Linked DNA regions of Notamacropus eugenii. The protein of the gene in region 1 purifies or fractionates together with the protein of each later gene. This does not show direct contact. Links are inferred from orthologs where the notes say so. Each region holds a gene or a part of one and is shown in the gene's direction. Other genes may lie near its edges.

Evidence for each region. Proteins that work in one complex are often made in the same cells at the same time.
Region 2: the proteins of SLC12A6 (region 1) and CLGN purify together in Homo sapiens (affinity purification with mass spectrometry; 3 studies listed by BioGRID and IntAct, with this or other methods). This does not show direct contact. The link is inferred for Notamacropus eugenii from reciprocal best matches to the Homo sapiens genes SLC12A6 and CLGN.
Region 3: the proteins of SLC12A6 (region 1) and RAB6B purify together in Homo sapiens (affinity purification with mass spectrometry; 4 studies listed by BioGRID and IntAct, with this or other methods). This does not show direct contact. The link is inferred for Notamacropus eugenii from reciprocal best matches to the Homo sapiens genes SLC12A6 and RAB6B.

The regions. Positions count from the first base shown.
Region 1 is NC_092878.1:17,217,028-17,227,601, forward strand, and holds the start of SLC12A6 (solute carrier family 12 member 6), read left to right. Parts: upstream 1-5,429; 5' UTR 5,430-5,558; coding exon 5,559-5,829; intron 5,830-10,574.
Region 2 is NC_092877.1:137,226,339-137,237,048, reverse strand, and holds the start of CLGN (calmegin), read left to right. Parts: upstream 1-5,930; 5' UTR 5,931-6,049; intron 6,050-6,338; exon of another isoform or gene 6,339-6,430; intron 6,431-10,710. UniProt on the Homo sapiens protein: Functions during spermatogenesis as a chaperone for a range of client proteins that are important for sperm adhesion onto the egg zona pellucida and for subsequent penetration of the zona pellucida.
Region 3 is NC_092876.1:334,781,083-334,791,895, forward strand, and holds the start of RAB6B (ras-related protein Rab-6B), read left to right. Parts: upstream 1-6,033; 5' UTR 6,034-6,409; coding exon 6,410-6,479; intron 6,480-10,813. UniProt on the Homo sapiens protein: The small GTPases Rab are key regulators of intracellular membrane trafficking, from the formation of transport vesicles to their fusion with membranes. Rabs cycle between active GTP-bound and inactive GDP-bound states.

The DNA.
Region 1 (10,574 bases):
TTTCTTCTACTTAGGTAACTGCTGGTGTAAAAAGATGTCTCCACTGGTGCAGGATCAGCAACAGGCACATGGCATTGTTCAGTCTCACCTGATCCTCAGTGACCCCATTTGGGGTTTTCTTGCCAAAGATGCTGGAGTGGTTTGCCATTTCCTTCTCCAGTTCATTTTACAGGTGAAGAAACTGAGGCAAACAGGGTGAAGTGATTTACTATTTGAATTCACAAAGATGAGTTCTTGACTCTAGCATTCCATCCACTTCACCACGTAGCTACAATTAAATTGAATAGAGTATGAGATTTTGGGGAGCAGTATCATTTTCCATTTCCATAGTCCCACTGAGAGGCAGTATAGCATAACAAACTTATAGGTGTTATGGAGTCAGGAAGACTTCATGTACTGCCTGAAACACACTGACTTCACATCAAGTTACTTAACCTGACAATGTGTCCCAGTCAACTTTCTAAGCCTATTATCAGTTGCTAATGTTTTGGTACGGGGCATTTCCATTCTTCACACTGATGAAATCGGTTCAGAGTGCTTCCCATCCCCACCCCCTAAAAAAAATCCCTTAGTCAAACAAGGCCCTGTATGCCACAGGTCCTTAAAAATGTTTGTTGAATTGATCAAAGAATGAGAACTGGATAGCGTCAGCAACTTGCCTCTACCATTCACCAGCTGTATGACCTTGAGGTAACAATTTCTCCAAGTCTGTTCGTACTTTTGTAAAATGGGAATGATAAGGCTTGCCCTATTTATTGTGTAGCCTACTGAGCACATAATCATATGTGTGAAGGCACTTTGTACCCTGTCAAGTGCTATACAAATGTAAAGCACTATCAGAAATAAGTTAGTGATATATTCAAATAAAGCTCTTAATCAGGAAAAAGCAGTCTAGACACCTTATCTCTGGGAGCTGACTTCACAGCAACCCTAGCTGAAGGGACATGTTAACCTTTTGGGAAATCAAGGGCTTCCAAGTCCCTACAATTTTGTGATTGGAAGTCTAAAATGGGTCAGAGCTGTGTGCAGCTTGGAAGCAGGCCAGAAAATAGTGCTGTGGGACAGAATGGAGAATTGAAAGCTATATGAAAGATGATTAGCTTCAACATTAAATGGGAATTCCATTCTCTAAATTGCAATAATCTCTTTCTCTTTCCTACATGGCTGCTTAAGTATTAAAGAGCTGGACTCTGAGGTTTTGTGGGTCATTTGGAAATAAGAGTAGGGTTTCCCTGGCTTAAACTTTAATTGCAAAAGTATTACTAAATCTGGATGTATACATTAATTTATTCCCAGGGCTGTTTGCTTAATGCAATCCTGCCTAAACCAAATGTGAGGAGGAATGACTCAAAGCTGGCCTGAAAAGTGCAAAAGTAGTCATTCACTGGTATCTGAGAACATTTAACATTCTAATAAGCCAAATAACACCCAAATGAGTCTATTTATGTCAATCTACATTTATTGACCACCATGAAAAGTCACATACCTTAAGACAAGTATTTAGGTGGCATTATGGAAAAAGCCCAGAGCTAGGAGTTATCAGATCTAGTGTCCCTTCCAACTCTTAAAATTATTAATTCTGCTACTGAAAATATATTCCTCCAACAGTAAGCAAAGTAGGATCTTTTGCTGTTTGACTTTTGGACAATCAAATACCTTTGATTGAGTCTTGCCTTTGATTGAATCAATCAAGAGTCTTTGATTAGAAACTATATATATATTCTAGAGACAAAGCAGAGCTAAGACAAAAGGGACTGTGAGGGGGCTAGGGGAACTTGCTTATGGGGAGGCCTAACAGAAAGCATGTTTGTGATGTTGGAGCTCTGTTGGTCTGTGTTGATTTCTCTGACAGAAGTCCTGTCCGTTGGTCTGTGTTAATTCCTCTGAAAGAAGCCCTGTCTGTTGATCTGTGCTAATTTCTCAGACAGGAGCCCTGGCTGTTGGTCTTCATGAGTGAATTGAGATGATGGCACTAGTAATGTGTATAAATATGGTTATAGGCCTGTTAAGCCTTGCTTCCTAGAAACAAAAGCTGGGAGGCAGGAGCCCCTGGTGCCTATCAGGCAGAAACAGGAAAAGTTTGGAGTGGAACAGTTCCCATGAGCTGAAACAAGGAGCAGGCACAGAGAGCTGCCTGCATGTGAGCCCAGGCAAGAGCTGGGAGTGGTCAGCCCATAGAGAAGGAGGGTTTGGAAGTCAACCTCGAGTCAAGATAAGAAAGGACTTCACTTGGACACTTGGTATTAAGAAGATTGTTCTTACTGTGACCTAGGGGTGGCTAGTGTGGTATTTTGAAGAAAATACTGGAGCAGCTAGGTGGTACAGTGGACAGAGCACCAGTGCAGGAGTCAGGAGGACATGAGTTCAAATCTCACCTCAGACACTTGGCACTCACTAGCTGTGTGACCTTGGGCAAGTCACTTAATCCCAACTGCCTCATCCTGGGTCATCTCCAGTTATCCTGATGAATATCTGGTCACTGGATTCAGATGGCTCTAGGGGACAAGTAAGGCTGGTGACCTGCACAGCCCTCCCTCACTCAAAAAAAAAACCAGTCAAGTGCAAGTCTTGTCATTATTTCTCTGACGGTATGGCCTTCTTCAGCATCAAAGGACAAACACACACAATACTCAGACACTTGTTATTGATTAAGGATGTTGCTATTGTTACGATATGCGTATCAGATGATCTGTTTTGCTTAAGCATGTTTAGCTTATTGCTAAATAGAGTTCATTATACTATGTGATTAGACTGTTAAAATCATTCACAGCAGCAGTTCTCAAGTGCACGGAAGTGATTGGCTTTACAATCCTTACTCCCCACAGAATTTAAGATCTAATTTGGGCCGTCAGGTTATAATACTTACAAACAACAATAAAAGTTAACTGTGCAAACCATTATTTCCAATACTCATCTTGAGGGTCCTATGCTTTAGGATTAAGTCTCTAATAACATTTCCCCAGACAACACCAAACAGGCTAATGTTAAAAATTAGGAGCTTTCAACGGTGTGTCCTTCTCAGGCTATTTTCAAGGTACATTTTCCTTTTTTCACTTTACCTCCACACATGCTGCCAAACAAAGATCAAAAGTCATTATGAGGAAGGCACAGAAAATATTGCTTTCAGCGGTTCTTCAATAAGTATTGGAAGAAGTTCTGGCTTTGGCTGGGCAGCTGGAAGACTTCAGATTTCAATCAGTGCCCTCTGACCGTCAGTCTCCTCATCTGTAGGATGTCTTGAAGAGCCTTAGAAACCTCCTCCAGCACTTGTACCTCTGAGGACACTCTGGGTCACAGGGGGCAGAGCTAGGATGGAACCCCGGCGGACCTCCAAATCACCAGGCCTCCGAGATTAAATGAGATTAAATGAGATTCGCTCCAGCTCTCAGATCCTGCGAGGTCTTCATGTGGCTCTCCTGCACCAGCTGGGTGACCTTGGACACGTCACTTCCCGAACCTGCCGGACCGAACGACCTCCAAGGAGTCTGATAAAGCCCATGACCTGGCCCGGCAGAAAGCAGGAATCGCTATGGATCTTTCCAGAGCATGGCAGAAGCACGGATCGAGAGGGAAGGGGCCCTCAAATGCCATCTACTCCGGCTGCCTTGTTCTACAGTTCGGGAAACCGAGGCCCGGAGGGGCTCAGGGTTACAGGGGGTCACCCGCAGGGGGTCACCCGCAGGGTCTGAACCCGGATCCTTTGGCCCCACAATCCGGAAGGACCCTTAAAAGCCATCGGGTCCAACCGCTTCACTTCACAGGAAACCGAGGCCCAAAGGGGCTGACTGACTTGTGGAAGGTTCTCTTTCCGGTCTGATTTCCGCCGCCCCCCCCCCCCCATTTCCTCCGAGGTCCCCCTCCCTGCCCCCACACAAGTCAGCTCCGCCACCCTCGCTAGGCCCACGCCGAGGGCTGCGGGGCAGGGTCCAGCAGGACGCCCGCTAGGGGGCGCGCCGACCCCGGCCCGTGGTCCTGCAGCCTCCGAGAAGGGCAGCGGGGCGGAAGTGCACCGGGCGGGGCTCGGGGCGGGGCTCTTCCGCCCTTCGGAACGTTCCCCGCGGCTTCGCAGCACGCTCTGTCTCTGCCCGTTAGCCTCGATCTGAAGCCGCTCGAAGGGGGGGGGGGGGGGGGGGGGGAGGGGAAAGGCTGCGGCGGCTCGAGCCCACGCCCGGCGAGGGGGAGGGGGAGGGAGAGGTTGCGGGGGGGCGGGGCTCCGGCAGAAGGCTGCGCGCGCCCCTCTCCCCTCTTCGTTCCCCCCGCCTCCCCCGGCGCGTCAGCCGCGTCAAGCCCCGCCTCCTTAGCCCTAATTTGCCGCGGCTGAAACAGTTACCCGTCTAGTAAACAACCGCTGCGCGCGCATCCTACATCAGCTGGGCTCCTGTGATCTCAGCACCTGATAGAAAGATCCTCCTCTGGTTCCTCTTCCTCCTCCCCCTTCTCCTCCTCCTCCTCCTCCTCCTCCTCGCCCTTTCCTCCATCCTCTCCTCTCTCGGAAGCCGAGGACAACCTGCGTTGTCATCTCCTCCTCTGCCCGAGACCCGAGGGGACACGCGCGACCGTGTCTGGCGGAGGAAGGCCGGCGAGGGGCTGAGCTGTGCCAGAGCCTTGGTAGGGGGAGGAAGTCTCCTGGGAGAGGAAGGGGGCCCTGTCCTAGCACCGGCGGGAGCAGCCCAGTGAGTGACCGGTCGGCGGCTCGACCGATGACTGGGGACGATCTGCCTGCCACATCCTTGAGCCGCAGCCTGGGCTGGGTCTGCCCGCTCTCTCTTGTCTGCCAGACCCCGGTGTGACCGCGCTGCCTGGAGAACAACGGGCAGCTGCCCCCGCACGCCCCTCTGCAGCTGGGCACCTCTGGAATCCTCTCTGCTCCTTGGCCCCCTCTTCCTCATCCTTTCCTCCTCCTCCTCTGCCTCTCACATCCATCTCCTTCACCTCCTCCATCAAAGTGGTGTGGGATATTTCTCCCGTTATGCATGCGCACCTTTTTCACCAGACCCAAGTGGATTATCTGCCTCAAAAACGTCGGGTGTCGGTGCACACGCCTCCCCTCTGCCAGACCTGTGGGGTATTCACCTGATACACAACAGGTGGCTGGGTGCACACCTCTTGGTATCCAGATCCATGCTATGTTCACCTGATAACGGTGGTCCTGCACGTTTCCTCCGCAACTAGAACCCTGGGCTACTCACCTGATAAACGACTACCTCAGCCAGAACCTGGGGGAGAGTGAGGGGGCAGAAGGGTAGTGTCACTTCCCAAAACAGAGACTATGGCTGGGAGCCTTCAACGTAGGGCCAAGGGAGCTCTCTAGATATCTACTCATTCTGAAGGAACGAGGTCCCACACAATTGGCGTTATTTTCTTCCCCTAGTGATTTGTGTATTTGGCTAGTGCTCTGGGACAGTTTTCTGATTAGGAATATTCTTTATTTTGGTTGGTTTGTGATTGTTTCAAGAATTGAGTTTATTATTACTAACGTCAAGATTAAAAGTAATCTGCATAAGAGGAAGGATTTTTTTGTTTTGTTTTGCTATTTTCTTGTTCTTTAAAAAAAAAAAATGCATCCTCCAGAAACCACCACCAAGATGGCTTCAGTTCGGTTTATGGTGACACCAACAAAGATCGATGACATTCCAGGTTTGTCAGACACTAGCCCGGATCTCAGCTCTCGGTCCAGTTCCCGTGTTCGGTTTAGCTCCAGGGAAAGTGTGCCTGAAACCAGCCGTAGTGAGCCCATGAGTGAAATGTCAGGGGCAACCACCTCACTGGCAACCATAGCTGTGGATGCAGCCAGTGATCGGACCTCCAACCCCCGAGATGTTACTGAAGGTAAGTGAAAGAAGTGAGAAGGATACATTTGTAGCTATCACGTTCAACCAGGATGCTGACCAGTTGCGAAGGGATTTTCCACTAAGTAGTATTTAGGTGAGATTGATACTCATTTATTAACAGAACCATAGAAAGCCTTCATTGTGAAGGAAATGTGGAGCTTTGAGGCCATTGGCCTTGTGGACATAAGTATCCAGTTATATAAAATACTGTTGTTCATGTAGCAAACTGTTTGAGTTCTGTATTTTTCTCAAGAGTAATTGAAAAGATGTTTCTGTTTTCTGCTTAAGAGAAGATAGGTATTAGCTAATTTTTCTTTTTTTATCCTAAAGAATGCTTGGTTGTGAAATCCAGGAGGTTGTACTTGTCTTTAGGACTGGTTAAGTAATGATCGTATTTTGGATTTATAAGTTGCCTTTCCTCCAGAGGGTTCAGAATGCTATTATATAGTATAATATTATTTACCTTCCAGTATTTTCTAAGCAGTTCTTATTTTCCAGAAAGGCTGGCATGCCAAGTGCTTGCACAAGGTCATGTAGGGTTACAGATGATAGTCGTTACTGCTCAATTCTAGACCATCGTTTCTCAAAGCAGAGAGTTCTGAAGGAACTGTAGATTACCCTTTAAATAACAGATGAGCCTTATTGACTTTCCTCCCTCCTCATATTAGTGCACAGGTCATATATAGCTTGTACTTCATAGGTTTTCTTTTCTTCTTCCTAGTATTATGGGTTGTACTTCTTTGTGTTTTCTTATTTGTTATAGGGGAAAGGAGTGAAGAAGGAAGTGAAAATGACAAGAGGTTACAGTAGTGCTAAAAAAAAAAAAGTTATCAACTAGAAAAGTTTGAGAACCGCTGTACTGTGCTGCCCTGGGTCTCCATTGTTTGTTGTATATTAACTAGATCGGAGCTTTTCAATGAAGTTTCTTAAAGATAGCTGTTTTTTTGTTTTAAGATAGTTATTTTAAAATACTTTACTGTAATTTGAATCATAGGCACCAGCCTATGATTGAATTGTGTAAACTTCTGAAAGAGGGGCTGTTTTGTCATTTTTGTGTGTGTTCAGAAATGTTATTCTGAAGAAAAGATGGGGTAATGATTTTACTTGTTAATTCGGTTGTTTTTTTTTCTCTAAACAAGAGAAGATTGGTTTATTTCAATCACAGAATTTGTTTATCCTTGATTAACTCAACTTCTGTGGGGATGTTACAGTGAGGGGTTGATAATTTTGAACTATAAAATGTAAGATTTAGGCATTGTAATAAAGTTTTTGAAATCAGCTACCTAATGGAGTTCATATTATTAGCTTTTTAAAATGTATTTTCTATTGTTTTTTTGTCCTTTATCCATCATACTATATTCAGGTTTGTAAGTCTAAATAAGGGACCTTGTGGGCTTACAAATTAATGGTGCTCAATAAAGTTTGAATATATCTTGTGACTAAGTAAAATGCTTATTTACTGTGTAGCTCAGTGTTGAATTACATTCCATAAATTTTTATCAATTGCATTATAAAGTATAACTGTCACCTTAACCAGATTTTTTTTCAGTAGTTTGTCATGGTTGCAGAACTATATGTCTTTTTCAGGATGCTGTTATTAACATAGCTTTGAATGTTCTTTAACAAGCAATAGTACATGTCATTGGTTTTCATATTATGGATGCAGAATTAGAAAAATGAGTGACACCCAAATCACACTCGGTGTGAGTATGGAATTTATAGCATAACTCTCTGAGAGTATTTCACTGTAATTTCAGTCATCCTAATCTACTTCAATATATGAGGAATTACCCTGTTCTATGTCTTTAAAATGTTTGAAAAATCTAATGATTAGATTTTTATATTCTCCTTTTTCCTAAACACTAGCTTTCTATTTTATCCAACAATTTTTTTCTTTATTCATGGGGATCTTTATTGTGATAGTCACCCAGTACAAATTTTCCTACTTACTTGAATGTCCTGTGTGTATTCTTCGGGGTGGTAGTAGAGTAAAACAAAGCAAAAAAATCTAACATTGTCCTTGGTACAAACTTGGTATAAAAGTCACCAAACTTTTATTACTTGCCTGGTATATACAGAGCACTATGTTTGGTGCACAGGGGAAATACAAAATTTTCATAAACCATGTTGTCTTTCTGTTAGAACTTATAGTCTGGTAGGGAAATATGACATCTACAATGTCAGTAATACAAATTAATACATGATAAGACTACATGGTGTGGAGGAAAGAGCCATCTTTAGTCAGGAATAACTGTTCTCAAGTCCCAGTTCTGACATACGCTGACTTTGTGAACTGGATCAAGTCATTTAACCAATCATATCTCAAGCCACTCTAAAATTGTAAGTTGAATAACATCTGCAAGTTTGTATTAGTAAAGGGAATACTCCCTGTACCTATAAAATCACAGATTAGAACCAAAACTCCAATATATGATAAAGACATAAAAAAGAACTATTTGAGGTCCTTCAGGAAGGAAAGGTCATCAATAACTAGTGTTCAGTTGTAGTATTTGAGTTGGGCTTTAATCAAAGAGAGTAGAACACAAGATAATACCAGATTCCAGGAATGGTGAACAAAGTCAAGGAGACATAAAAACAAATGGGATGGCAAGTAGTCTACTTTGGCCAGAGCTTAGAATAGATGTGGGGAAGCAATATAAGAAAAGGCAAGGAAGGTAGGGATATGCCGTATTTGGAATGGCCTTAGGTGCCGGACCATTGAATCACAGCTACGTTTCTATCATATACCAGCTGCATGACCTCAATCAAGGCTCTTAGAATACCTAAATTTCACTTTCCTCAGCTATAAAATAGAGATAATTACACTTGTGTGAACTACCTTAGACATTAGTTTTGAGGTTCAAATGAGAGAATATACCTGATCTGCATAGTAAACTTTTTTTACTGTTTTTTTCAGTTAATAAAATTATATTTTTTCTCACTTAGATCTACCCCCCCCAACAACAACAACAAAAAAGGAAAATCTTTGTAATAGATATGAATAGACGAAAAAAACAAACTCCTCTATGGGCTATGTTCAAAAAAACTATCTCATTCTCCACCTGGAATCTCTCAGTTTCGTTGTCAGGAGATGGGTAGGAGATGGCATGCTTCATCAGTGTTGGTTACTACACTGATCAGAATTCTTAAGTCTTTCAAAGTTGTTTCTCTTTACCGTGTTCTTAGTAACCTTTACAGCACCATACAAACGTAAACTGCTGTTTTCATTATTAACCTCAGTAACCTCAACTCCCTTCAGATCAACTAAAATCTATTTAAAATTTAGACTTTTTTTAATTCTGTGAATTTTTTTTGCCCTTTTTATTTCCCTAATTTTTCCATTGCTCTGTCATTGTAGGATTCTACTCCTTTCTTATAAATTTCACAATTTACCAAAGAATTTCTCCTGTGATAGAACTTCCCTATCTACACTTCTAGTTGCTGGGAAGCTTATTCATATTTGCCTTATGTATTTATTTTTGAGTTACAGGTAAAAATTTTAATATTCATTCCTGTATCTTAATTTTTTATCTTGCTGTTATCCTTCTGAGTAGATATTTTAATATCTTTGTTTAAACTACAGGCGCCTGTATTCTATTATGTTCCTGTATTAATTCAGTTGAATGAACATTTACTAAGTGTATGTTATATGCAAGGCATGGAGAACCAAAAAGAAATAGACCCTGTCCTCAGGGAGCCTATATTTTGTTGGGCATGCATCCTATATGCAGATAGGAAAATACAAGGTCATTCTAGATTGCAGAGAATATTAAAAACTGGGGAGACCTGGGAAGATTTGGGGAGTTGAAACTTTGAAGCAGGACAAGTATTCTGAAAGGTAGGGATGAGTCCATTCTAGGCATTGGGATGATTGGTGAGTGTGTCTGAAAGCAGGAGATAAGAGTAACAGGGGTCAGGAATGGCTGTTAGTACAGTTTAGCCAAATATATCCTTTATGGAAGGGGCCTAGTGTGAAGTACAGCTAGTAAGACAGACTGAATGAAGTCAGATCTATGGAAGATTTTAAATGTCAGTCTAAGGAGTATGTATATTATCCCATAGACACTTGGCAACCCACTGAACTATTTTGAGCAGAAGAGTGATATGGTCAGAATTATACCTTAGAAAGATTTTGGGAGGAGTGGGAAGGGTCATGGTGCAGCCATATATGAATTGGAGAGGACACAAAATTAAAGCAGGGGAACCAATTAGAAGCATATTAAAGTAGTCCAGTCAAGAAATGACAAGAATCTAGATTATAACAGTGACTATGTGACAAAGGGAAGTGATGCAAGAGATGATGAGGAGGTAGAACTGACAAGACATATGTGGTTAGATATGAGGGAGAGGAAAAAATTGAGCTGATTCCAGAATTATGAACCTAGATGACTGGGAGGATGGTAGTGCTTCTAATAGAAATAGGAATATCTAGAGGAAAAGGCAGATTTAGGGGAGAATATAATTTTGTTTCACACATGCTAAGTTTAAGGTGCCCAAGGGATGACCAGGAGGAGATATCCAGCATTCAGTTGTTTATGCATGAGTGGAGTACAGTAAAAAGATAAGGACTGAATTTTAGAGATTTTTTTGAGTTATCTGTATAGAGATGATCTTTGAACCCATGGGAGCTAATGAGATCTCCAAGAAGGAGATAGTAAAAACAGAAGAAAAGATGGTAAAGACAAGAGGGTCGAGGACAAACCCTGGGAAACACTAAAGGGAGAAAAGGAGATGGATTATGAG
Region 2 (10,710 bases), on another chromosome or scaffold:
TGGAGAAGGAAATTGCAAACTACTCCCAATATTTTAACAGCCCATGGACAGTACTGGGGTTCTGTGATCCACAGTGTCCCACACAGCTGGATTCAACTGAATGATTGAATAACAATTGAATAAGAAGGTATAGGAAGAATCACAGAAACAATATTGCACCTGCTGCCCCCAAAATAAGTGTTCTCTATCCTTGCACATACAAAATCCATGGGAAGATTGGGCCCAAACTTAAAGTATAGACAAACGAAAAGAGCATGTTGAACCTCAAGATTCCTGGCCCTGAGGTCCTTTTCTCCAATAGTGGAGTCCTCATGAAATTCTCCTGAGAAATAGCTCCCTGCTTGTCTCTGAGGATCAGTGCCTTTTTTGAATCCACAGCTGGTATTTCTATCATGAAACATAACAAACCCTGAACTACTACTACTGTCTTGCCACCTCTGTCATCAATGATTACCACTTCGTCAGATTCTGCTAGTGACTGATGGATTACCTGGTTACCTGGACCTCTCAGAATACTAATTTCCCTGAGACTAGGATAAAAAAATGCATGCAACAGAAAGAGAGGTGAGGTGCTTGCAAGCAACCACGTGAGAAACAAGGTAGCTGTCCTTACCACTACCTACCTCACAACAGTGCTATCCCACTTCCAGCCAAAGACAAAAAAGAGAGATCCAAGTCATGCTTTTTATGTGCAAATTCATTTTTGGTACAACGCTTCTTGAGTCATTAGTCCTTCTGGCTTCTCAGACAATTAGGAGACATGGTCATAGCACAGTAGCAGCTCCTCAATCATCTTGGTTAGAAACAGGCTTCCCAAAGTTGCCTGTGTTGGACTGGAACCAGGCAGGAATATCTGCATATACTCTGTAGTGTCTACCAGAAGGGTAAGTCCAAGCAAGCTCTAAAGACTTGAGTCCGCATTGACTAGTTTCCCTTTACATTATGAACATACAAACCTCAAGTTTGGTGATAAAAGGTTTGACCTTTTCACTCAGTATGTGAACATCTACCGCATGGGATCCTCAATCCTGTGAAACTTATAGTGTAGGTCTTAGTGTGGGCGCTAGGTGGTGCAGTGCATAGAGAACTTGTCCTGGAAACAAACTCCCCTTCCGGAGTTCAAATCTGGCCTCAGACACTTACTAGCTGTGTGACCCTGGGCAAGTCACTTAACTTCATTTGCCTCAGTTCCTCATCAGTGAAATGAGCTGGAGAAGGCAAATCACTCCAGTCTCTTTGCCAAGAAAATCCTAAATGGGGTCACAGTCACATGACTGAAAAAAGACTGAACAAATGTCTTAGTGTACATGTAAATTAGATTTGGTTGGTTGGTTGTTGTCCCTCGTTCTTGAAGAAGACCAAAATGACATCGTCATGATAAAGTAAAATTTCAGTGTGAACAACTATGGCTGATCAGACCAATATGAGCTTGGAATGTTCTACCATGGATTGGGCACAGATCATCTATATGAACATTTGATGTGGATACTCCAGATTTCTGCATCCTATGTTTCCTTTGTGCTGTCTCAATTCTGCTTTGCTCATAGAGCACAGTACCCTTTCTGATGTGGGTATGCTGAGTGGTCACAGTCAAACCCAAAGTTCTTGAGAGAGACCTTTACAATGTCTTTGTATCGCTTCTTCTGACCACCATGTGATTGCCTATCCCATAAAATAGTTGTTTTGGCAAGAGTACATTTTGCATTCAAACAACATGGCCAGCCCATTGGAGTTGGGCTCTCTGAAGCATAGTTTGAATACTTGTCAGTTCAGCTCGAGCAAAGACCTCAGTGTCTGGTACCTTATCCTGCCAGGTGATCCTCAGAATCTTCCTAAGACAGTTCAAATGGAAGTGATACAGTTTCCTGACATGGCAGTGACAGATTATCCATGTTTCACAGGCATACAACAATGAGGTCAGCACAACAGCTCTGTAGACCTTCAGTTTGGTAGTCAGTCTAATACCTCTTCTCTCCCCAACTTTTCTTCAGAGCCCCCCAAATACTGAGCTAGCTCTGGCAATGTGTGCATCAACCTCATTGTCAATGTGTATATTCCTGGAAAGTACACTACCAAGGTAAGTGAACTTACCCACAGCATTTGAAACTTCTCCATTTGTTGTAATTGATGGTTCCACATATGGATGGTGGTGGCTGATGGAGCACCTGTGTTTTCTTGGTGTTATTAGGCCAAAACTAGCATAGGCAGCAGAGAATTGATCCATACTTTGTTGCATCTCAGCTTCAGAGGTTGCATTGAGTGCACAATCATCTGCAAACAGAAAATCATGCACCACTACTCCCTCCCTTTTGGTCTTGGCTTGTAGCCTTTTCAAATTGAGGAACTTACCATCAGCATGGTAGTTGATGCTGATGCCATGTTCATCCTCATTGAAAGCATTTGACAACATGGCTGAAAACATTATGCTAAAAAGCATGGGAGCAAGCACACAGCCCTGTTTCACTCCACTGGTGACTGGGAAGGCACAAGAGCTTTGTCCATTATCCAGAATCCAGGCAAACATGCCATCATGAAACTGACGTACAATACTGATGAATTTCTCTGGGCAACCAAATTTTGACATAATTTTCTATAAGCCCTCATGACTAACAGTGTCAAAGGCCTTGGTTAGATCTACAAGTGTTGTATACAGACCTCTGTTCTGCTCCTGGCATTTCTCCTGGAGTTGTCGGGCAGCAAACACCATATTGACTGTTCCTTGGCCCTTTCTGAAGTCACATTGGCTTTCATGTATATGACCATCTTCCACATGAGGGCTCAGCTTATTAAGAAGGGCTCTAGCAAGAATTTTGCCAGCAATGACTAAGAGACAGATCCCCCTGTGATTGCTGCAGGACAATCTATTCCCTTTACCTTTATGGAGACGAAAAATGGAAGCATCCTTGAATTCCTGGGGGATAACCTTCTCTTGTCACATAACCTGGAAAATTTCAGTCAGCTTTTGTATGAGCAACGGTCCCCCTACCTTGTAAATCTCACCTGGAATAGAATCAGCACCAGGTGCTTTGCCACATGAAAGGAGCCTATGGTCCTCAAAACCTCTTTTTCAGTTGGAAGTTCAGCTAAAGAGGGATTGACTACAACCTGAGGTAAACTGTGGAAGTGTTCAGCCCATCTCTCTAGGATCACGTCCTTAGGTTTGGTAGAATAAGTTTCAAACCTAGACTCTGAAACCTGACAAAGGAACGCATATGTATATATATGCACACATATATGTATACACACATGTATTTATTTCCCCAGCGTGAGAATCTGCATTTTCTGTTAAAGGCAGCAATATCAATTCACTATTAAAAGCCTGTTTATAAGTAATATAATTTAACAGGCATGTGGTACACCAAAGATTTATATAAGTAGATAGTTTCCTGCAAATATACGTGTGGCAATGTCTGAATGCGTTCCTCTCCCAAATTCTAGTAAGGACAAATAAAAACTTTAGTAAAAATATAATAGCAATTACATATTACTAGTTTCTTTTACCACAAATTATATTAATTTAGATTTTTCCAAATGGGGGACGGAGATAGAAAGATCAGGACAGATTCTAACACAGAAAATATGCAAAATACAGTAAATTATTCCTATAGAAATAAATACATTCAACATAAATGCCCACTAAGACAATCCTTCTTGTAATATGTGAGAAGACAAAACAGTAGCAATTACATCATCTGCGGCAGCCAAAACTTATTAATTTCTAATGCTTTTCCCTTCGAACAATCATTATTTCTTGAATTGGCTGGCACATACAATGACGATTCAGACAGGACTCTTGCTAGTGGGAATTTCTCATAAGTTTACTGCTGATAGAAGTGGATACATTATGGAAGAAAAATACATAATTTGACAAAGGCCATTACTTAATGTTGTTGGGAACAGGAAGAGGAATAAAAAGTGGCCATCAATCATATACTAAGTGGGATATCAGTTGAAGATAACATATCACTACTTATAGTACATGTTATGAATACAATTTATTTTAAGAATTTATTGAAATAAAACATTTACTTTTATACAAGATCAACAGAACACTTTCTTTACAATACTTTGAGAGGGGTAGTACAAGTTTTATTATACCAATTTTGGCAAATTCTGATTTTTTTTTCCTTTACTGAGTGGGAAGAAGGAATCATTTCAGGTCAATTCCACTAAAAAGGTACCTCATTGCTTCCCTCCCTGTCCCTTACCACATCCTGCTTCTTGTGTATGGTGTGCCCCATGTCTGACCAAGCTCTAAGCACCTCACACCACCTGCTTCAGCCACCTTCATGGCCACTGCAACAAATTGTTCTCATTTGCCCATTCCACCAGGGGAAGTCTCTGCATGCTTGGGGTAGACACTCCCCCTAACTCATTGGCAGTTTTGAGGCTTTCTGGCCATCCTCAACCTGGTTTTTCCTCTCTGCTGACCAGGCTACTCAATCTCAGTTTCCTCTCCTGTAAAATGTGAATAATTGTTAACTGTGGAAATAAGATAACCAAACGTAGAAGTGATTTCACTGATAGAACAATTCGCTTCAACAACCCAATTCACAGTCATCTAGGTTCTTTCAAAAACTGGACAGACAGATATCTCACCCAATGTCTTACAGGCCCTTCTCCATCTCTCCTAAAGTTGACAGGGTTGTCCACTTGTCATCCTTCATTCTTGCCATACGAACAGCCTATCTTCTCTCCCATCATAGGGACTGGGATTTCATTGGTTTGGGGAATTCCCACTTAAGCGAACTTCCTCTACCAACACAGCCTGTTCCTTTCTCTGAAATGCAGAGCTGCCTAGAACAGTGTGAAAATCAGCTAGAAACAGAGCGCCACTAAACCTTCCCCGGGATCCCGGTAAGCTCCCTCCTGGTTGAGTTTCACAATGTGGTATTATGTCATTACAGTTTGTTAAATATTTCCCGATTCTGGCTGTGTCTGGCAGCGCTGTGGGTCACGTTGCCTGCCTCTCGTTTGACACCTCTAGCCTGGAATACTTAAAGTTTAAACGGCCTGGTCAAGCCAGGTTTTCCTGACTTTACGTGTATACGAGGCGGCTGGTGGCACAGTGGATAAAGCCCTGCGCCTAGAGTCAGGAAGCCCAGAGTTCAAATCCAGCCTCAGACACTTGAGCAAGTGTTTGCCAAGAACCTCTCAGGCCGGCCCTGGTGTGCTGGACCTGCCCGGAAGGTCCATCAGGGAACCTCAGATGCCCCTCGCTCCAGCCCCACGACACCCCTGACAAGCCCGTGCCTCAATGCCGCCCCGGAGCGCCCCGCTCCACTTTCGGACGGCTCTAGTTGTTAGCAAGCGTCCGGCATTCCTACCCAGGACGCCGGCAGGAGCCCAGGCCTCCCGGGCTGCTGAGCCCTGCGGACGGTTCGCTGCCCTCGGAGCCCTTCTCGGGGAGGCCGCAGAGCGCCTCCCCGCCCCCATCTTCTCGGGTCCGACATCCTCAGGGGCTCCAAAGGCGCGATCCAAACCCTGGGTCCGGGCGGTCCGGAGCCTCCCGGTGGCGCTCACTGCGAAGGCGGACTCCGCAGGAATGCCCCGGGTCAGCCCCGCCGCCACGCTTCCTCCGCCACTTCTCGGGACCATCCCGGGCCGGAGCCCCCAGGAAGAAGCGGCGTCCACGCATTCTCGTGGGTGAGCGTGCTTCCCACGGCGCGCCGCTCCTGCCCGAACTGGGACATCACTTTTCCGAGCCTGCTTCTCAGGCCTCGGGGGACGTTCGCGTCTGCTCCGGGGCGCTCCCACGACCGCTCGCACGGCCGCCAGGCAGCAGCCCGAGGGACTCGGGAGCTGCGGGAGAGCGCGTGCGCCAAAGCCCGTCGGGGCCCGTCGGCCCCGGGGGGCGCTCCCCCTCCCCCCCGTCCCGAGGGGCGCGAGCTCAGGGAGAGCCGTCGCGTGCCGCCGCTCGCGCATGCGCCGTTGGCAGAAGCCGTGAAGTGGCCGGCGGCGACTTCGGTTTCGTGGTGGGGTGACCACCCTGTGGCCGCCGGCCGGACGGGCGAAGCGCCGCCACCGAGGGCCCCCGCCCCGAGCACAGGTGCGTGACTTCGGCGGGGCGGAGGGGGGGACGGAGCGGCGGGCGGGGCGGGGGCGCAGGGGCGACGTCGGAGTTGTTAGAGGAGAGTCCGCTGGGAGCCGGGAGACGGGGGGAGGGAGGAATGGGGGAGGGGCCCTCCTGGGCCCCGGCGAGGGAGGAGGGCTTGAGTGCGCCCGGGGGGCCGGCCGGGCTCCCCCGCCGCCCCCCGCCTTTGCCTGGGACGTGAGGGGAGGGGGAGGGGGAGGGGGAGGGGGCCGGCCGGGGCTGGACGCGAGTCCGTTATAGCGGCGGTTACCATCTCCCGCCTCCGTGCCCGGGCGTTGGGCGCTCGAGCCCCGCGCGCCCCCGCCCTCGGGAAGAAGCGCGCGTCCCCGGAGCCAGGTACGCGGCAGGACGGGAGCCCCCACGGCGGGGGGCGGGGCGTGGAAGGGGCGCAGCCCGCCTGGGATCGGGACCTAGCCGGGGTCTGCTTGGCGCCGGCGGGGCGGAGACCCCCGGGCTCACCCTCTGAGGGGCCCGCCTCTCTGGGCCTTTCGTCTTCGCCGGCCCCAGGAGAGACTGGGGCTGGACCGCCGCGCCCCTCCCCCCTCCGCCGGGCCCTCGGGGGCAGTCCGAGCCCCCGCCGCAGGGCCCCCTTCACCCCCGCACCTTGTCGGCGCTCAGCCCTCGGGCCCGTCCTCTCCCCGGCCGGCGGCTCCGGTTCTGGCGTGACCCGGGCTCGGCGACCCCAGAGGCTGAGGGGGAGGTGCCTGAGTCCCGGCGCGCCCGGGAGAGTTCACCCTAACTTTAATCAGTGGCTCGAGTTAGGGGCGCGCCGGGCAGGAGGCGGCCTGCGGGGGGCGGTCCGCCCGCTCCTGGAGCCGGAGCCACGGTCCCGGGGGAGGGGCCGAGGGGCCGCTGCGGCTCGTCTGGGCTGACGTCGTGGGGTTAGACTCTAAGTCGGGGACGTTCTGTCCGGAGGAGGTGGCGGGCTCTTTGGAAGTGCATCGCTTGGTTTCAGCACTGAACAATTTTCTGTGCTTTTTCATTGCAAAATTAAAATTAAGTTACGGCAACCATTGCGACAGTACCTTGACAGGTGTCTGCTGAGACTGAAGATCTACGACTTGGTGATTTGGGCAGTTGTTGGATTTTTTTCCCGCGCTGTTGTTGGACTGAGTAACATGTTTGTTTTATCCATCCCCCCCTAAAGTACTTGTATCCCTTTTGAGAACTTTTTATTGATGAGTTCTTCCTAGCTCTGGATTACTTGGGTAGGTTCCCGTGCTGCCTCTTATAACTTATTTATTACCCGAATGACCTTGAGTAAGTCCATTCACCTCTGTAGAAGACTTTCTGAGAAGCCTTTTTCTAGTCCAGATCCATGGTCCCTTTGAACATTTTAAATAGAGTGAAAAGCTCTGCTTAGTAAATATTTATGAAATAAAAAGAAGCCGAACATGTGAGAGTGGACAAAACAGAGACTAGAAATAGTTATAAATATTGGAGCAAAAATCAGTTAACTCAGTGGCTGGCCAAATGTTGAATCATTCACGGAGTTTGCAGTTACAAAAGCCAAAAATTCTGTGACTTTGAAAGTTTGACTTGGAGATGGCGTTTTAGACCCATTGTGATCATGGTCCCTGGCTTGTGAGGAGGTGATTACACAAAGCATTTGTTTTATCTCGCTAGTTTACTTTGACATCCGACAATTCAGTTTATTTCCATGCGCTCATTTAAGGACAAACAGACCCTTTTTGTGGTAGGGTCCCCGGATGAAAAAAACAACTGATTATTCCTTTAGACGTTATCCTGGTGATCTTATCAGCTTTATTTTAATAGCCACCCTGTCTTCATGTCAGTAGGTTCGTGCCTGTTGTGTGACACAGTACATCTAGCAATCTCATCATCATGAATATTTGACATGCACAATGTCTTCATGTTTGCAAAGTGCTTTACATACATGATCTCATTTGAAGAATACCTCACAACTCTGAGTTAGATTTCTAAATGTGCAATATAGGGACTTTCTTTGCTGAGGAGAAGGCAGGATGAGAACTAAAAAGGAGGTATTGGGCCTAGTGAATTAAGGCCATTGTTGGGAACAATTTCAGGAAAGAAATGGTAAGACCAAGAACTTGAGAGTAGTGAGGCTGCAGGGACAAGTGTAGATGTGTAGACAACTCTTCAAGAAAAAATAGTAGATATGTGGACCTAGAAGCCAGAAATATTCCAATTCCGCCTTCAACATTAACACTTGTGTGACTCTGAAGTTTGTAAAAGGGGATTGTGTTTGCAGAAAAAAGATTATAAATGAGTTCTGTTTTAGACATGGTCATTTTGAGATATCTATGAAACATCCGCTATTGAGATGTCCAGAAGGCAGCTGGCAGTGGAAGGAGACTGGAGCTCATGAGAGAGGTTACTGCTGGGTATGTAGATATATGAATCATCTCCTTAGAAATTAATTGTTCATTGAACTCATGGATATCATCAGGCAAGATAGTGGAAGAGAAGACAACCAAGGACAGAGCTTTGGAGTAGCGGGGTGAGGGGGGAGAACCACACTCATGGTTATTGGGCATGACCCAAATGAAAATTCAGCAAAAAAGGTCTCTGGGAAGGAAGAGTTAGGTAGGTAGAGAACCACAGGAAAAAGTGACCTGAAAGCCTATAAGAGGGAAGAGTATGCAGAAATAAAAGGATGATTAATGACGTCAGAGGCTGCAGAGAGCTCAAGAAGGACATAGATTGAGAAAAGACAATGAATAGATTTGTCATGTAAGACTGTTCAAATCTTTGGGAATTGAATGTTGAGGTAAGAATGAGATTGCTCAGGGTTTTGAATCTATTGGAAGGAAAGGAAGTTGAGACAGCATATATAAACAGCATTTTCAAGAAGTTTAGACACCTCCTTTGACCTGAAACACCACTACTAGGTCTGGACCCCAAAAAGATAAAAGAAAAAGGACCTTTATGTACAAAAATACTGATAGCAGCAATTTCTGTGGTAGCAAAGAATTAGAAACTGAAGGAATGCCCATCCATCAGTTGGGGAAAAGCTAATTAATAAACAAGTTGTGGCATATGATTGTGATGGAATACTATTGTGCTGTAAGACAGAGAAGGGATTGATTTCAGAAAAATCAACTACTTTCTCAAAGTAGAACTTAGTCAATTAACCACAATTCTTGGGTTGTTATTCAGTTATTCAGTCAATTCTGAATCCACTTAATGCACTATTTAGCAGATCTAGGAAGGTAGAAAGCATAGGACCAAGGGTACAGATGGTGATATTTGCCTTATTAAGCAGTAAGTATTGCCAGGAAGAAGCAGGTGATAATGCTGAGAAATTTGGGTGAATGGAGGACAGAAGGCTAGGGGACTGAGTCCATGTTTAAGTCACCACAGTTTCTTTAAAGAATTAAGCTGCTGTCATCTTGTATAAGGGTGATGGCATAGATGGAGGAAAGAAAAAAAACTTTGAAATAGTTGAATGGATAAAGATAGAGTAGGATTGTCAACATCAGTTCAGGCCAAGCTAAAGTTATGTATCATAACTTTTGTAGTGTATTCTAGAGTCATTTTACATTGTCTTTGGTTTTATACTTAATAATTCCTTCAAAGTAATTTTTTTCTTGTTCAGTGTATAGATTTACTTATCCACCATTTCCCATCTAATGTTTATCTCTTATCTGTTTCATGGTGTCAGGGTTACTTTGGTCTCTCTCTACTGTATTTTGGCCATCATTTTTGTTTGCAAACATTCAGGTGCTGTATATTACTATCGTTGCTATTGTCTACGTTGCTCACCTCTTTTCTGACCTTTTAAATCTAGGTTTTTGGTGTAATTTGAATATTTATCTAAATAAATATCTAAATATTTACACACTTAATTTGGCTTCTGGTATATGTATCTCTCAATTTATTGACCTTTGCTATGTTGGTATATAAAATTAATTTTCTTAGTCATTTATATTTTAAAAATAAAGCTGCGTCTCATTTTTTATTGAGCTAAATGGGAAAGTTTTGGCAAGTAAGTTGCTAAAATGGATATAGTTTATTTATAGCACATTTACTAAGTGCTGTAATACTTTAGTAAAGGCATTCTTATCAGGAGTTATGCGTCCTCAAATCACTTCACTTTGGGGAATCTAAATAACACTTTACTTCACTTCTTAAAAAAAATTCTAAAGTAGGGAAGGGGCATCAGGAATCAGCTGGACCACAATTAATTGTTTTATATTCACATGGCAAGTTCCATGACCTAATATGATTTACATTTATGAATATGAAAATATATGTTTAAAAAGTCTCTAGTAGGAATTCCCTGAAAGGTCAGTATTAATTAGTCAATGAGAGTAGGTGACAGTAAAATGAAATAAAACATTTCCCCTCTGCTTTCTAGAAGAAATTAGTCTTATCCCTTCATTCAAAATGAGGAAAAGTGAGTGTTTCAGGTATACTTGTTTTTAGGTAGGAAGTAATACACTATAGTAAACATAGTGTTTACCTTTCCCTCTCCTTCAAAAAAATTTGGAGGGTGATTTTTGAAAAATATTAATTATATTAAAGGAATTAAAATTTTAGGCCCAGCTTCTCAGAGTTAAGAGGAGTAGATATTAGCTACCAACCAGTAGGGGTGAGGGGACCTATGGTTTTAAAATTTTCTAGATAGAGTG
Region 3 (10,813 bases), on another chromosome or scaffold:
TCAAAAAAGGGGTTGTTGTTGTTCAGTTGTTTCAGTTATGTCTGACTCTCTGTGACCCTGTATGGAGTTTTCTTGGCAAAGATACGAAGTGGTTTGCCATTTTCTTCTCCAGCTCATTTTACAGATGAAAAAACTTAGATAAACAGAGGGAAGTGACTTGCCCAAAGTCACATAGCTAGTAAGTGTCTGAGACCAGATTTGAACTCAAGAAGGTGAGTCATCCTGACTCCAAGCCTAGCACTATATCCACTGCTTCACATACTTGCCCCCCCCCCAAAAGGAGTAGTATTTGGGGTTGTATGGGAAGATGATAGCAGATGTCACTTACAGTCTTATATTGAGTAAAAATCTGCCTCTATCAATTCCATCTATTGCTTCTATTTCTGTCTTCTAGGGTTAAACAAAACAAGTCTAAGCCTTCCTTCACATTTAAATTTAAATGTTTAAATATATTTAATATTTATTTAAATATTTATCTAATTTTTTAATTTAAATATTTAAAGACAGCTTGGTGGTATAGTATATAAAACACCGCTCTTGGAATCAGGAAGACTCCTCTTCCTGAGTTCAAATCTGACCTTAGACACTTACTAGCTGTGTGACCGTAGGCAAGTCACTTAATAGATGAGTTCCCTCATCTGTAAAGTGAGCTGGAGAAGGAAATGACAAATCCAGTGTCTTTGCCAAGAATACCCCCAAAAGAGTAACAAAAAAGTAACATACGACTGAAAACAACTAAACAACAAACAACATAATCATGCCCCATCTCTAGTTTTCTCTTTCCCAGCTTAAACATCTCTAGTCCCTTCAATCAACTTTTCAGTCTAGTCCTTTCGATCAACTCATAGCTTATACTTACGACACACAGAGTCATTTCAAGTCCCCTAATCATTCAGATTTTCTAAAAAGTGAGTTTTACCTTATTTTGATGGGGCCCAGGCCGCTACAATACTTCACAGACATCTCATCATGGTTCCAAGCAGGTACCCTTTTCTTCTTCTCCTTCCCTCTTCCAGGACCCCTTAATGTATTATCTTCTGTCATTAGAATGTAAGCTTTTTCAATAGATAAATAGCTTCAGGATATGAACAGACAGCTTTGAAAGAATCCAAGCTGTCAATAACGATATTAAAAATGGTCCAAAGCACTAATAATTAGCAAAATGCAAATTAAAGCAACTCTGAGCTTCAACCTCCTGCCCATCAGAGGGCAAAGGTGACACATGAAGAAAATGACAAATGTTGGATGGGCCGCAAGAAGACAGGCACACTGATGCACTGTTACTGAAGCTGTGAATTGACCCAGCCATTCTGGAAGCAATTTGGAGTTATGCCCATAAAGATATTAAGCCGGCCATATCCTTTGACCTAGCTATGTGACTACTGGGCTATACCCTAAGGAAATTAAAGCAAGAAGAAAAGATCTTATATGTATAAAGATATTTATAGCAACCCTTCTCATGGCGAAGAACTGGAAAATAAGAAGGTTCCCATCAACTGGGGAATGGCTAAGCAAAATATGAATATGTTAGGATACTACTGTAATATAAGAAATGATGGATGAGAGTTTCAGAGGAACCTAGGACGACTTGTACAAAATGATGAAGAAAGAAATGAACATAAATAGAACATAATCACACATTATAGAGAAAAACAATTGTGAAAGACTTTAGAACCCTAATCAATGCAAAGAGAAACCACAGGTTCAAAGGGCTAAAGATGAAAGATGCCATTCGTCTCCTGCCAGAGAGGTGATGGACTTAAAATGTAGGTAAGACATTTTTGACATGAATAATGTGGGAGTTTCTTTTGTTGGAATATATTATGCATTTGTTCTAAGAGTATTATATTTAATTTTTTAATTGCTCAGTGAGAGGAAGGAGATCTCTATGTCTATCTATCTATCTATCTATCTATCTATCTATCTATCTATCTATCACCTATCTACCTATCTGTCTATCAATCTATCCTCTCCTGGATTTATTCCAACTTATTATTATCCTAAAATAGTACCTAGAACTGAACACAGTATTTGATGCAAGTGAAGATAAAGAATCAACTTGAAGAGTAGGTATTGTGATTTTGGTTTGCTGAAAAGTTCTCTCCCCTTCTTTACCTCTAAACAGTTCTCCCACCTGGTTGCTGAAATTCTACCATTACATATGTGTTCGTTTGGGTCAATCTGTCTTCCTCTTTAAAAAAAATAATTCCTCTAGAAGCAGGATAACCTATGAAATCATTGACACCTTCTTCAATAATTCAATAGAAATATCTCATTGATGGAAGTATTGGTATTGGATCTGTGGTACAGACCACAAAACATCTGTGACTTCTGGTCCTGTGGAATTCTTATCCACATTCTTCCATGATCCTTCCTCAGAGATTCCTGTCAATATGCTGAACACATCCTGTAAGTCTTTCTACATTTAGATGGTACAATATAGAACTCAGATGATCTATCTATTATCCTGAACTAGAACAACATGACCAGCATGGCTTCTTTTATAGATATTTCTCCTTGATGACATTCCTTATGCTTCTTTTAAAAAAGAAATACTTTACTCATGCTCCTTTTTCTTTCATTACTGTGACTTCCCAATTATTACTCCCTCATACAACATGCCCCCCCCATTAGAATCATCTCTTGTAACAAAAATTTAATTAAACAAAAGTAATTAACACAATGGCAATGTCTGAAAAATATATGCCTTTTTCTATACTTATAGTCCACCACCTTCTTGACAGAAGATGGGAAGCATACTGCTCCAACTTTCAAGTCATGGTGTGTATCATAATTCTCAAATCTTTTATTGATGTTTTCCCCCCTCATAAAGCAAAGAAAAGCCATGAAAGTGAAAATTATTCTCTATTAGAAAGCCTGATGTGAGACCCAAGTGAACCACATCATCCCAACAGCATTGATAGATGAAATTAGGAGAATATTAAACCAATAGAAAATGGAAGAAATCTGCCAATGTTTCTATAACACCATCTTTTTCATCAATGACAGAGAATCACCATATTTGTTCCCTATCATCTTGGTGCCTGGTACAATATATAAAAAGTTGAAATTGCACTTTAGAAAATAAAGTTGAAAAGATCAACTAGGCCAGAAGAAGTACACACAAAACAAATTCATGCTGGAAGTAATAGAATCTTGACAGCAATAAGAAATTGTTTTATAAGATATCTCAGGGAGGAGAAGATACCAAAAGAATGGGAATAAAAGTCATGGACATTATTATTTCTCCAAAATAGGTGAATGAAAAAACATCAATAACTCCTGACCTATATTCTTACTTTCTCATCTTTATAAAATGTTTATGAGAATGAGGACCATATATCAAGGTTATTCTTGATGAAAATATGCAAGAGGAACAGTCAGCCTTTCACAAATGGTAGTCTGCAAGAGAACACGTTACAGTAGCATAAGTGACAGAAAGGGTCAAAATATACAAGGTTCTGCTACGTTTATTGTTCGTTGGTTACAATAAAAATTGCTCTATACTAGAGCAAAACTTAGCCTTAAAGAATTTCCTTCAACCAAAAATCTCTCATGTGTATATTATGGTCATAAAAGATTCCTTCATAAATGCCACCACAGACATAACTTTGTTCCCTAACTCTCTTGTATGTCAAGAGAGGCATAGCACAGGAAAATGTATACTCACCAGTTTCTCACCACTGTCACAGGCAATACTTAGCTCTATGTCCAAACAGAAGAGGGATTCCATGTGGACAGCGAATTCCTCCAGACACTTCTGTTTGCAGATGATATCAAGCTTCAGATCATCAGAGGGGCTTTCTCAAAATGTATTCAAAGGATATTAGCCTTAAACTAAATGAGTCTAGTGCTTAAAACACTCTCCGGCACATAGTAGGTTCTTAATAAATGATTGCTGACAAAGTTTAGTGAGTGAAAAATGAACAGAACAGAGCTATTAACAATCCAAGCTGCTTCCTGACACAAAGAGCAATCATTATAGAATAAACAAGCAAACTACACGGTCTGTTGGCGATAGTACATGATTGCCAATATTGGACCAGCATGAACTCCAAAGAATCAAAATTTCATTTCACTATAGAGCTAGAGAGCTGCTTGGTGTATGCAAGTGGGTTGAAACCTATTTCCAAAGACAATCTCTGTTCAAGTGCCATGAGGGATATTATTGGAAAAATGTGTGATCAGACAAGAAGGCAGGATGTTCATGTGTGGCATACAACAGATGAACAGTTCTCCATTGTTACCCAAGAAATGTGAAAAAAAAAAGTCTAGAGCAGTTCTTAACCTGAATGTCCACAAACTTAATTTTTGAAAACATTTTGATAACTATATTTCCATAGAATTGGTTTTCTTGGTAATCCTATGCATTTTATTTTATGCATTTAAAAACATCTCATTCTGAGAAGGGATATGCTTTACCAGACTGCCCAAGAATTCTGTAACACAAAGCAGGTTCAAAACACATGAAGACCTACAGCACATTAAGGGAATTCTTTTAGGAGAATCTTTGGGAGAAATGGACTAGAACTGTATCAAGGTGAGAAGGCACAGAAGGTGAGAGACCTGCTGTGACAGAGGGAATGCCTATATTGATGACATCACAGATCCACTGAAATATAAAAGTGTTTCTTCGGCAATAAGAGGGTCTAGGGACACTATTGAAAGCATTGTGTACTTTTGAGGAGGCACTAAGCACAGGACTCAGGAGGAGGGAGATGGGTGGCAATGTTATTTCATCAAAGCCAACACTTGTCAGGGCACTGTTCTCAAGTCCATCTTGGATGTTGCTTGGTACCTCACAGTGAGCTGATGAAAGATTGTTCTCAATGACCTTTCTCTAGCTCACTGATCTCTATGTTATATTCTGGAAAGAACGCTGAGAAAGAACAGGCCAAGCACTCTAAGATGGGAGAAAATTCTGCCAGAGGAGTCTCCTCTTCCTTTTGTTAATTCCGTCAGCCCAAACCTGGATTGTTTTGCTGGAAGCTTCATGCTCCAGAGAAAGCAGGACGTCCAAGAACTGGGTGGTGAGGAGATATTCAGGTCATAGGGGGAAGTATCTTCTGGGGAATGATGGCCCATCAGTCACTAGAACGGACAATCGAAGAAGCCATTTTAATCTCCACTGGGGACCTTGAAAGACAAACACCATTTCTTCTCTCTAGGCAGGGTTAGGAACATTCTTGTCTGGCAGTAAGAGAAAGAGGACTAGATCATCTTTGGAGCTCTCAGACCCTGGACTCTGAGATTCAAGAACTCCAACGCAAATTATTTTCTGAAAGATGGTAGAATTTTGTGTGAGCCACATCGTCAGGTGGTGGAGTTGAGTACTCTTGGATTTATCTACCTTTTAGCAATCACTCCCTCTCCATCCCCTACTTTTCATGTTTCCAAGTGATTATATGAGATTTAGATTTTAAAAATTGCTTCTGGTTTTGGAGCTGTTGTGCAGCATACTTCTAACTAGTGACCTTATCTTTCCTCAGCATTGTGTGGAGAAAAGGGTGGAGGCTGGAGATGTCTAGAGTGGAAGGAATAACCTCTCCCCTTCAGTCTCTCTCTCTCTCTCTCTCTCTCTCTCTCTCTCTCTCTCTCTCTCTCTCTCTCTCTCTCTCTCTCTCACTCCATTTTCTCTCCTAGATGGACTCAGCTGTGGTGTATATTGGTGTTTAATTCATGGGCTTCTTCCCCTTTGATCTGGAGTAATGCAGATAGATTTAGCTTGACATTGTAGGAAATAAATATCTCTGTCCCACTCTCTTAGCCCTTTCTGGGCTCAAAGGGGGAGGGTGGGAGCGAGGCGGTAAGGGGTGAAGGATCAGGGCACTCTGCTCGCCCCGTCGTCCAGGGCGCGTTGCCTCCTCTAGCAGGGGCGGCAGCAGGGGCGGCTGGTGAGACAGTGACCCCAGCCATCCCCCGCTCCTTTCAGATGCATTAGGCAAAGCCTCCCTGCAGCACTGCATTGGCTTGTCGGTCCTGCATGACATCAGAGAGGATGGGAGAGAGCCGACAGGGCGCAGGCGCTGGAGGTGGGGAGGGGAGAAGCTCCAGCCCCCGGCTCGCCGAGATCACACCGCCTCAGCATCCCCAGCCCTGTGCTCAGACGGTCGGCGCTCCGACACCTCGCGCCCTCCCTCCAGCTCTGCAGCCCGCGCGGGCGGCATCCTGAGTCGTCCTCCGCATTCTCCTCCACCCCTTCCTCCGCAGCGCAGCCCGAGTCAGGGGACCGGGGGAAGCTGCAGAGCCGGCGACGCTTGCATCCAGCCCTTCCCCCTTCTGGATCGTAGCCTGCCTCTCTTCCCTCCTCCTCCTCATCCCTTTCCTCCTCTTCACAGTCCTCCCCTCTCTATTCCTCCTCTCGCTCCTACTCCTTCTCCTCCTTTTCCCACACCCCAGAGCCAACACCATGTCCGCAGGAGGAGATTTTGGGAACCCATTGAGAAAATTCAAATTGGTCTTCCTGGGGGAGCAAAGCGGTGAGTAGCTGGTTTATTTGCCAGGGTTGGAGGCTAAGTCTGGTGCCACTTTGGATTCTCTCCCACTCCCTTCCATCCCTCAACCTCCCTGCAGTTGTAGTGCACACCTTCCCTTCATCCTCGCCCCCCCCATCCCCACCCCACACCTTACCCTGCCCCCCCCCCCGCCCACACACAAAGGAAATAAAACACTTAGAGTGGCCCCTGGGCACCAGGGTGGCCGTGGAGGTGGGGGCAGACGGAGGGAGGGCAGGAAGATGCTTCAGCCGGGCGACTGATTGAGGCTGGAGTCTGGAAATGGGCTCCGGATCTGGCGATCGCTTTGCATAGTGCGGCAGCTAGTGCTGCACGCAATACTGGGTGGGCTCTGCTCGGACCGGGGAGGGAGTGGGCTTGGGGCAGGCAGCCCGATTGCCTTTTATTCCTACACCAGGACTTGGGCTCTGGGGTGCACCCCGTCTGCTTTGGGGGGAAGGTGGGGGAGGGCGGCGTGTTGGAGACTTAGATGGTTGGAACTGTGCCCCTACGTGGAACGGTGGGCAGTGTGCGAGTGGCACCGCCGGGATCTCAAGCGTGGCTGCTTCTGGGCATGGGAGAAAGCTGCAGAAGGCAGAAGAAGAATATGAACACCCCCCCCCCAAGTCAAAATTGGTTTCAGGGAAAGAAAAGGGGGGGCCACGAAACTTGCTAATGCTTCTGCTCTTCCAGGAAGATTGGAGAGACTGGGGTTCGAGGAAGTAGCTTCAATATTAATGCCTTGCCTCTCACCTCAAACTGGGCATAGAAGATTCTAGTATTGGCCATCTCTTCTAGTCTTGTGTTTATTTGCTAGGGAGGGGGTCCTCAGGTGATGACGGTGAGACTGATTGTTTCTTACCTCTCAGGCTTCTCGCTAGAGGTGCCCCGAGGAAGACTGGAGGAGGAGAGGGATTTTTTTGGGGGGGTGGGGGGACATCAGGTGGAGAAAGTCAGACTACTCCCAAGAGGTTTGTGCCGCTTTGGTTCTGCAAAGAAAGGAGAGAAGAGACACACCCTGGTCCTTCCACCAAGTGTGTGAACGTGTCATTCTTTCCTGCCATCTCTCATCATAAATAACAGAGAAAAAAAAATCTCCAGGGGAGGGGGCAGGGAGGAAGAGGGAGAAGGAGAAGGAAGCAGCCAGTCTACCAGACCTGACTAGGGATGACGGGCGGAACCTGCTGCTTCTCTTTCCTGCTATGCCACAGGAGGGGCTGCCCCTCTATTTGGCTCTTGGTCTCTAAGAGGCAATTTTCTGGTGGAGAATGACCAGGGAGGTTTCAGAAGTCACAGGCCAAGAGAAAGGGAGCAAGAGGTAGTGGGGGTAGGGGTAGGAGAGGAATGTGTAGAAAGAGCACTGACCTGAGATTTCGGGGGGCCCTTAGGTTCTAGTCCTAGGCCCTACTAGCTGTGTGACCTTGGGTAACTTAACCCTTCTGGGCCTCTTTCCTCATCTGTAAATTTCAGAGGTTAAGCTAGTTTTTCCTTCTAGGTTTCCTTCCATCTCTGATCTTTGATGATACTTACTGAAGTGGAGCTATGGGTAGGATGAGTGTTTAGTTTGGTTTTCAATGTGGTTCCTCAATCTGAGAAAGGAGGTGTATCTGCATTTACATGGAATAGGTCACACTCCTGGCCAAGATAGGGCCTGTGATCCCCTTTCAGCTAAGAGCATCCATGAACTATGTGAAAGGTGTGTCTCTCATGCCCAGCCTCTCCCAGAACTCAACATCTTATCCTTCTAGACTGATCCAGATTTCTTCTTCATAGCTACGTTGTTTGATATCTTGTGCCTGTGTGAGGGACCAAGCACATTGACAGCTCTGAGAGTGGGTGTGGCGATCTGCGGCCTTAGGGCTGAGAGACTGCTCTCCTCCCTGGCTCCTGGATGCATTTAAACGTCTGAGCACAGGCACGGGGCTGAAACTCAGGAGACTGTTTCCTTTCATTAGACTTGGGTGCTTTCTCCTTGGGCCTAACTTGACATTTCTAACTTGCCCCAAGGGACAGGAGCTCTGTGAGTGGAATTTTTCATCATCCCCCAGACAACATTTTCACTGAGTTGGGCATTCTTATTCTCTCGCTGGAAGTAAATGCATAGGTTCTCTCCAGCTTGAGACCTGCTCTATTCATCTGAGATCCCAGGTCTAGGCTTTCGGAGGGAGGGGAATTTCCATTTGTGTTAGACATATATATAAGGGAGACAATGCACCGCCTGAGTGAGATATTTGAAATCAAGGAATGTGGGTTCAAATCCTTACCCAACTACCTTTTATGACCTTGGGTAAGTCAACCTTCCTGGACTTCAGTTTTCTTATCTGTAAAATGTAGGAGTTAAACTAAGGAGCCTCTAAGGTTCCTTCCATCTCTAAATATGGCTCTATGACCATATTTAGCCATAGGGCACCAGAAATAGCCTAAGGGATAAGGTGTTTTAGTCTGAGTTTGAAAGAAAATCTTCATCTTATTTCGCTAGTCCATAGGGTGGGATGAAGCTTTGTAAACTACTTAGATCATAGAATATTGAAGAGTTTAAAATGCATGCTGGACTTGGGCCTTTAAAAAGTATTCAATTCAACTTCTTTATTTTGCAGATTAAGAAACTGAGGTCCACAAAGGTGACTTGCCCGAGGTCACAAGGTCAAGTGAACAGAGCCAGCAATAAAGTCTAGATCTCCCAATTCCCACTCTGATGGCTCGCTACCTGGTACCAAATTCTGGGGCCTTTAGATGACCTTGACTTGGGAAAAGAACAGAGCCCAAGAGAGGCAGGAGAGATAAGGAAATCCATAAGTAAGAGATGAAAGACTAAAGATAAAGAGAAATTAAGAGAAAACAGAGGCAGGAAAAAAAAGATGAATGAAAAGATAACTTTTTCAATTAAGAAAACTATTTTAAAGGTAATACAATTTTTTGAAGAATTCTCTGTGTAGGGTATAGCCCATTCCCCAGGACATAAGGTATGATTACCAGGTTTTAAGAAAATTGACCAAGTTAGCAAATAAAAAAAATTTAGAAGATGATTATTTGCATTTCAAAAGCCCTCCATCAATACTGGGATGCCTTGAAATAGTTCCCTCAGTCCTTTTACATGTTAATTACTTGGCTGAGAAATGGGGAATGAAGAGGACAGAAAATTAAAGACCTCTCGGAAATGTAAACAAAGAAATGGGGTGTTAGAGAAAACACTGAACTGAAATCCCAGAGACCTGGAGTCTAGGATGCCTCTAAATAGTTCTATGACCTTGGGTAATTCACCCAGTCTCTCTGAGCCTTATAAATGTGGAGGTTCATTCCATTAATTCAGTTGAATTCAGAGTAAGCCTACTATGTACAAGATGTTGTGTGAGGCAGGAAGGTAAAAAGACAAAATGCTAAAATAGTACCTAACCTCAAGGGAATATGTGTGTGTACATACACACACGCATGATATATGCACATATGTATATACAGTATATATACCTATGTATGTGTAGGTATATACATATGTACATATTCACACATGTATATATGCATATATATATAAATGCAAAGACTATATAAAGTAATAGATAAATAATTTCCAAAGGAAATAAGTACAAACAACTGGGAGCATCAGCAAAGGTCTCATGTAGTAAAGGGAACCTCAGTGGTGCTTGGAAGGAAGCTGGAATTCCCTGATTTGAAGGTGAGGAGGGAGGGCATTCCAGATATGGAATGTATGCAAAGTCAAGGAGGATCTCTAAGAACACTTGTAGCTCTTAAATTCTCTATTCTATCCCTATTCTAATTTTCCATAATAAAATAATGGAATGTAGAATATATTGTATAGTGACCATCTTATATACATTAGAAGAAGCATGATATAGACTAGAGAAAAGACTCTTTGTTGTCTTAGGACTCAGGTTTCAATCCCAGCTCTGTTAGTTGTTACCTATAATACTTTAAGCAAATCAACTGGGTGGCAAAAGATAGAATTCCAGCCCTGGAGTCCAGGAGACCTGAGTTCAAATTTGACCTCAAATCTGGGCAAATTCCTTAATTTTTGTCTGCCTCAGTTTCCTTATATTATTACTTACTTCCCTACCTCCCAAGGTTGTCATGAGGATCAAATGAGATATGTACACTTAACACAGTGCCTGGCACATAGTAGGCATTTAATATATGCTTATTTCTTCCCCTTCCCTTTAACCTTTCAGGACCTCAGTTTCCTTATCTATAAAATGAGGTGTACTCTAAGGTCTCTTCTTGCTCTTAATATATGATATCATAAACTCAGAAATAATCATGTCTGTCACTAGGAAATAGGATTCCATAGACTGAAAAGTTATATATTC